Linked DNA regions of Rattus norvegicus. The protein of the gene in region 2 purifies or fractionates together with the protein of the main gene of each other region. This does not show direct contact. Links are inferred from orthologs where the notes say so. Each region holds a gene or a part of one and is shown on either strand. Other genes may lie near its edges. The genes, in order: Ptpn11 and Slamf1.

Evidence for each region.
Region 1: the proteins of Slamf1 (region 2) and Ptpn11 purify together in Homo sapiens (affinity purification with western blotting; 3 studies listed by BioGRID and IntAct, with this or other methods). This does not show direct contact. The link is inferred for Rattus norvegicus from reciprocal best matches to the Homo sapiens genes SLAMF1 and PTPN11.

What each region holds. Positions count from the first base shown.
Region 1 is NC_086030.1:41,077,927-41,081,744, forward strand, and holds part of Ptpn11 (tyrosine-protein phosphatase non-receptor type 11), read left to right. Parts: intron 1-929; coding exon 930-1,042; intron 1,043-3,426; coding exon 3,427-3,496; 3' UTR 3,497-3,517; intron 3,518-3,818. UniProt on the Homo sapiens protein: Acts downstream of various receptor and cytoplasmic protein tyrosine kinases to participate in the signal transduction from the cell surface to the nucleus. Positively regulates MAPK signal transduction pathway. Dephosphorylates GAB1, ARHGAP35 and EGFR.
Region 2 is NC_086031.1:86,812,467-86,816,284, forward strand, and holds part of Slamf1 (signaling lymphocytic activation molecule precursor), read left to right. Parts: intron 1-608; exon of another isoform or gene 609-1,439; coding exon 1,440-1,730; exon of another isoform or gene 1,731-3,818.

The DNA.
Region 1 (3,818 bases), on a different chromosome or scaffold from region 2:
GAGTGAAGAGAGAGTGGCCACTGAAGAGTCCCACTTTGATCGGATTTGTTGCCTTTGGCCTGGGAGCACATCCATGAATGGTGCTCAGTGGTCCTTGCCACCTTGCATAGTGTGTCCATCTCTCCGCATCCAAGGGGACTTAGTCTTAGACATGAAGCCTGTAGGCTCTCCTGTCCCATGTATAAAGGGCTTGGCTTTGTAGAGAACCTACTCACTCCTCCTGTGGTCTTCATGTAGCCGGGCAGGCCTTGAACTTAGGGTGAGTGTGCGCGTGCTCAGTACAAATGCATTGTCAACGGATATTCAGTGCATGGAGAGCGGACTCGACAGGGCTCTTCTCTGCTCTCTACACGGGTGTGGCATGTGTGAGCGCTCACACCTCTCACACACGCAAGCACATGGTGGGATGAGATTACTTTCCTGTTGATTTGCTCTGCTGGTTTCCTTGCCCCACCATTTCATCTTCGGATGCGGAGGTCTTTTCTGAGGTATATAGGAGGTAGGTTGGAGGGTTGGGGGAGTGTCTCACTGGCTCAACACATGCCCAACATGGTACAAGGGCTCTGGGTGCCATCGCCAATATGCTAAATAAATAAAGTGCATTATTGTGCCTTCCACCCCTGCACACGGTGATTAGAGCTCGTGCAGTAGGAGGAAGGCCTCTGGTCTGCATCAGTGGGCAGTTCCTGCATCCCTCCGGCTTCTGGGTCTCCTAGGGATGTGTTCACAGCGCATTCCTCCTGCAGGTGCTGGGCCGGCCGGCCGGGAGCTCCTGACAGTTTGGTCAACATGTTAGTGTTCATAAGAGTCTAGTCTGTCCATCTGTCTGTCTCTCTCTCGTTTCCTTTGATGAAATAGCCTTCTATTCCTGTGTTTTTCTAAAAGTCGAGTCCACAGTCCTTCTTACTTGTATTTTTTCCCACTTTCAGAAAAGCAAAAGGAAAGGACATGAATATACCAATATTAAGTATTCCCTGGTGGACCAGACAAGTGGCGATCAGAGTCCCCTGCCACCTTGCACCCCAACGCCACCCTGTGCGGAGTAAGTATTGATGTTGGCGTTATAGCTCTGGTCAAAGCTTGCTGTCTGTATTCCTCTCTCATGCTTGCTTGCTACCCACTGATGGTACATGGGGCGGTCAGGCGCAGGGGATCTCTAGGGACTGTGGACGATGTCTCAGCAGGGTTTCCAGGCCCCTAACCAGGAGGCCTGTGCTGGGCCCTCCAGGACCCTGTGGGGCCCTAAGCATGCTAGGAAGGGTTCTCTGGGAAAATCGCGTTTTCCTTTTGCAGTTAGCATTATTTCAGAGGCAATGCTGTCCTTACAGTGTGTTCTGACTCTGAGTAAGAATAAGTAAGTTCTATATTTATGCGTGGACAGGACTATGATCTACCAATAAGAGTTTTTAAACCAAAGGTCAGAAAGCCAGAGCCTACAGGCCTAGCTTTGCTCTTGTAAAGGAGTTCTTCTTTCCGACAGACAGACAGACAGACAGACAGACAGACCCCTCAAAACCCAGCAAGGTGACAGTTGCACAGGGGCAGCCATCCTAGTGGGAGATGGCGGGCCATTACGAATGGGCATCCTGCAAAGGAAGCAGCAGGCGGCTTAGGGACAGGACACGGCGCAAAGCTCTTCCCACACACCACGCAGTGCCAGAAGGGGGTGCAGTGCTGCTGAAGACAGATTGTTTTTAAGGAGCGGCTGCTGCGTGGCGCTGCTTCAAGCTCATTGCTTCAGCCCACAGGGCAGCTTGCCCCAGACTGCAGCCAGAGCCGTAAGAGCACGCTGCCTGCTGACCTTGCAGCTTGGAGAATGAATACCTCTCCTGGAAGCACTCAGATCTCAGGGAAGGTTTTGTTCCAGAGGCATTCAACATGATGCCATCTTAATGGTTTGTGCATCTTTGACAGGAAACTGACATTTCCAGAGTGTGAGTTGAACTAGAGACACACCCAGAAGCAGAAAGGGCCCAGGCTCTGTCAGTCAGACCCCAAGAGGGACTGAACTTAGCTCCTGGTGCTCACTGGTTTTTCACTGACACAGCACTGTGAGAACTCACCAGTATGGTGGCTCGGAGAGCTCGGGTGGTACAGTATTGAACCAGCAGCGTGGCTGCGCCTGTCTACACGTCATCCTTGTGTCTGTTAGTCTGCTTATAGCTCTTGAGGTCAGTGTCCTTAGGCCACTTTGGGGTAAAACACCCCAGTCCTCTGAGCTGGTGCTTTGTAGCCGGCTACTGAAGACTCCCGGGAGAAGCAGGACTCCAGTAGAAACCACATTCACATTCCAGGAAACCCAGGTCCCTGCATTTTAAGTGACAGTTTCCAGGGGTGTTTGGCCAGGTTAGGATTGAAGTCTACTGTGACCTCTTTCCTTCACTCTGCTCCTCCTGTCACCCCAGTGCTTGATGTCTGTAAGAGCCCAGACTTACATGTCTCCACCCCTCATGCAACCTGGGAAAGGAAAACCCCAAGGCATAGCACACAGAGGGACTCTCTGGCCAGTAGAGTCATCACACGTTGGTTCTTTCCAGAAGGGCCTTGCAAGCTCTTGGGTTAAAGTAAAACACACAGGGCAGTATTTGTTAGCCAGTCACGTGGCTAGCAGCTGTGCTGTCTGTACCACAAGGTTGCTCTCTGCCCTAACATTTACTTTTACTTTCCCCTGGAATCCCACTTGTTTGCTTCTGCTGTGGGCTTTTAAAGCCCCGCTGACTTTAATATTGGCTCTACACAGCTCTGATAGATAGCAGATAGAGGCCTGTGTTTACATTCTCTCTCTGTTAAACACAGAAATGAAATCATGTGGGAAGGGTGTTCTCTCCTGAGTCACCTTCCCTCCTCCTGCTCTGTTCTGCCCCAGCAGGCTGACTGGTGATACTGGTGTCTTAAATCGATAGCTATAGTAACCTGCTGGGGAGCAGCACCTCACGCTACTCACACTACTGGGTGAGCACCCTTCCTACAAAGCTCACCAGTGACTGACAGGCAATCTGCCTTCGTGCTGTCCCATGAGGGATGCACACCTGAGATCCTAGGCCCCAGGGCTGCTCAGAGATCCTATCCTTTTGTCCCACACAGCTGGCTAATAGCCTTCTTTACAGAAGGAGACTAGGCCTTTGGGTGCTTTTAGTTCTTCATCCAAGGCTCTAAGGGTGACTGGAGCCCTCACTTGTGATGCCTCTGTGGAAATGGCCACAGTTCCTGTCTTTTGTGCACCTACTCCTTCACTGCCCTCCAAGCTGCCTTCCCTCCATTCACACTCTGGAAGACAGGACTCAGGGCCTCTGCTGATTTTCCAAATTCATAATAGTCTGTGTCTGATGTCCATTTTGAGAGCCAGCTCCTGGGTGAGAAGGGGTCAGTCTTGGCCTAGCTGGACATGGCAGTCAGGTAAGTGTCTTCCTTCTTGTGTGTCTACAGAATGCGGGAGGACAGCGCTCGAGTCTATGAGAACGTGGGCCTCATGCAGCAGCAGAGGAGTTTCAGATGAGCTTCGGGTGGCAGCGCGCAGGTATGACACCAGTCTCTCCCTGGGGCCGGCCACAGTGGTCCAGACAGGCAGGCGACTTGTTCGTGCCAGAGCAAGACGTCCTGTGATTGAGTCGTGCAAACCAGCCTTTCTCTTTGCCTTGCCCCTCTCCAGGCCGGGTTTGGTTTACAGTTCATTAAGTCAGATCAGTTAACTGCATGGGATGGAGCTGGCACAGCAGTTGACAGGGATGGAGTGGACTTGGGTGGTACATGCCCTGTTGTTTGTGACCTCTTGGCATCAACAGCAGGGATGCCTCTGAGGACGTGGGGTCCCAGGCTCC
Region 2 (3,818 bases):
ACAGTAGAGGTTCTGGGTAAAGAGTGATATTCCACCCACAAGCAGTTCACCAAGCCCAGAGCCTGGGGGAGGCTTCCACCTACACGGTGAAAAAACACCTCTTTTCTCATTTGAACCAGGATCTGCTTATGTAGTTATTTACTTGTGGCCCTGTAGAACCTACATCTAGCTGAATCCAGCACCTTGTGAGCCTCTTTAACCTCTGCTCCTGTCCTTGAAGACACCTACAATTCCTATCCCTTAGGCTCTGAGCCTTGTCTGCTTTCCAAAGCTTCCTGACATCTGTGTGGGGCTTTCTTTCCAAAGGATGTCGTACATCACCAAGGATGGCAGAGGGAGCCCACAGCCAGCATTTTATCGAAAGCTGTAGCTTTCTAGGAGAAAAAGAGAAACATCTTTACTCTCTTCTGTCCCAGCACTTCCCTCCTGCAAACAGAGAGTGCAGAGTTCCCGTAACCCTCTGTTGAGTGTTCGTGGAGGCCGCACATCATGTTTTTTAAATAACATAAGTGTTATACAATCTGTCCTTTTGCTCTTATGAGTTCACTGATTTCGTCATACCTTATATAATCAGCTAGGTGTGTTGGGAAATGTGGTCTCTGCAGCCATTTTCTTTGAGGAGAGAGAGAGAGAGAGAGAGAGAGAGAGAGAGAGAGAGAGAGAGAGAGAGAGAGAGGCTGATTTCTGAATCAGACTAAGGTATTTATCTCAGCCTGGCCACTTAGAAGCTACATAGTCATTTAAGTCATACTGTTTCTCTGAAGACTCATTTTCTCATTTGCAAAATGGGAATGATTACTTTTAGTCATAATAGTTGAGAGAATGAAAGAAGATGGATATGAAACGCCAGCGATGTGCTGATCCTGTAGCAGCTGGATTAAACACAGACGTGACCTCCCTTTTACCTTGCCTATCTTGTGGCACTGGAATTGTCTGGTTGATAGGACCCGTAGCTAAGGTTTAAAACTTTACCCCTGCTTCAGACCCACAAAGTCCTTGCACCACCACCACCCACGTCCACAACACACGCACGCAGGCACACATGCGTACACATGTGCTCAATGAAAGCCTACCACTGAAAGTTCATGCTTTTAGCTCACAGTCTAGGATGTTGTACTCATAAGCCAGTCAACCTATCTTATTCCTGATAGAACAAGGCAGAGCAATCTAGACGGCAAGCATCAGGAGAGGCATGTAGCATCCTAACAGAAAGGAACCGTACGCCAACTGCTTCTCTGTTCTATCTGAAGAGGCTCCTGGAATGAGCAGGGTGGGGTGAGGGATGATATGAGTTACAGCTCCCTAGCAGAGACAACTCACACTCAAGGTTTCTCAGTGAGGGGAAAAATGACATCTGGCTAGACTTTCTCTTGACAAATAAGTCAACACTTCCGGGACCTTTGTTTCAGTGATGGCTCCCTTGTTCCTCCTCCTGACAGAACAGGTCTCCACTCCAGAGATTAAAGTGCTAAACAAAACCCAGGAGGAGAATGGGACCTGCCACTTGCTGCTAGCCTGCACGGTGAAGAGAGGGGATAATGTGTCTTACAGCTGGGGTGATGAGGCAGGTACCCGTCTGCCAAGCCAAGCCAACCGCTCCCACCTCCTGCACCTCATCCTTAGCAACCAGCATCAGGACAGCATCTACAACTGCACAGCGAGCAATCCTGTCAGCAGTCGCTCTCGGACCTTCAACCTATGGCAGCAATGCAGGCCAGAATCCTACTCAGGTGAGCACTCGGGGACCTCATCCATGGCAAATCCAATGCTAGCTAGGCCAAGAGCACTACTTCAACAGCCAATCCTTGCCCACAATATTTCACCTTTGCTTTATATTGCCAAAGTCTCCAGGTACATCTAGGTGCTTTCCGTGTTGGCCCCATTTGATTCACAGTTAAGGAAAAAGCAGGGAAGGAGGGAGGACCCAGAATCTGAGCCAGACTCAGGTCTCCAAGAGCAAGACTTTCTCTGTGCTTTCTGCCTTGAATCCAGTGTTCAAGGATATGTAGGAAAAAGATTTTGGGATGTAGGTCCTAGGTCCTAAATCCATGCTCCGTTAGGGTGAAACAGTTCTTTGCCATCTATAAATACACCCCACCCCCCAAATACTTCTCTACTTATGTTCTGGACCACCAATAAGTACTTAGGCTGCAAGATCAGGGAGTAGATACGATGTCTGATCTCTGCACCTCAACAATGCATTGTAAATATAAGATATGAGACATTTGCTCAGTAATGATGTGCAGGCTGTAAGGGAGGGGCTCGTGCTGTGAGTGGACTGTGAATCTTAGAGCCAGCTAGAGGACCAGAGGAATCAGCGTGATACTGGCAAGCTACTTTTAACTGTACCGTCTCTTTGGTTCACAATAAATTTGCCGAGCGGGTGCTACCACCAGCTTCATTTTACAGAGGAGGAACTTGAAGTTCACAGAAACTAAGCATCTCTCCAAGCTTCTTCAACTTCAGCTAGTGGAATCAATGCCTAAACTTAAATATTCTGAGTAGGTTTCTCCTTTCCGGGGTAGAAAGCCTCGTTGCTCTGTTGGAGGAGAATGCTGATTACGTAAGCTAATCTAACCACAAAGATACAGAACAGACCACTGCTCTCTCGTGCCAGGCTGTGTGTCTCTGTCACAGGACGGTTGAGGGAGAGCCCCAAAAGGCTTTTCTTATACCCTGACATTGGGCAAGAGTCATCTCAAGGAGACTCCAACCCAAGTAAATGTGGATTCTATGTGACACAGCAGACAGGTGGGGGCAGAGGAGAGGGGACTGTAACTACACTATGTCTTCAGCATAGCACTTCCTGTTACAGAGACCCCAGCCCCCAGAAGATTCTCAGATAGGAAACACCCCTGCTGTACCCCAGGATATTCCTTTGAGTTCTGTCACGAACCTAATGCAGCCATGTCATGGAAACAGTCAATCATCAACCCTCACAGCCATCCAATACTCTAGTGTGAACATCTTCGCACTATGAATGAAGTAAAGAGAATGAGAAAAACTATGAAAGGCTTGAGTAAGAGCTGAGCTGTCTGGTACCGAAACCCTTCCAGGTAGTCATGGAAGAGTGATTGCACTAGAACACCTCAGGAATCATGATGAAAAAAAGAACTAGTTGTTTTCCTTGGAGACAGGGAAAAATACCCATTGTGCCAGGCTAGCTCTCTTGGTAAAAGTCTGTTTAGGAACAGGGGAGCAAAAAATTTACACTAACCTGTCTAAAAATGGAGATGAGTTCCCCTCCCATGCTTCCAGATAGCTCAACAAGAATACAGCTAATGCATAATAAAACCTCCACACGCCGTAAAGTTTATGCTGAAGGGCATTTGGCTCAGGATATTCTAAGCTAACACTGAAGGTGATTTTACTCATTTAAGCTGTCCTGAGGAAGACTCATACACTTATGTATGTACGTAGGCATATATGTATGTATGTATGAGTGTATGTATGTATGAATATATGTATGAATGTATATATGAATGTGTGTATGAGCGAATGTATGTGTATGAATGTATGTATGAATGTATGTATGTATGTATGGATGTATGTATGAATTTATGTATGTATGAATGTATGTATGTATATATGAATGTGTGTATGAGTGAATGTGTGTATGAATGTATGAATGTATAATGAATGTATGTATGAATATATGATTGTATGTATGTATATATGAATGCATGTATGTATATATGAATGCATGTATGTATGTATGAATGTATGTATAATGAATGTATGTATGTATAATGAATGTGTGTATGTATGAATGTATGTGTATATGAATGTATGTATGTATGTATGTAAGTATGTATGTA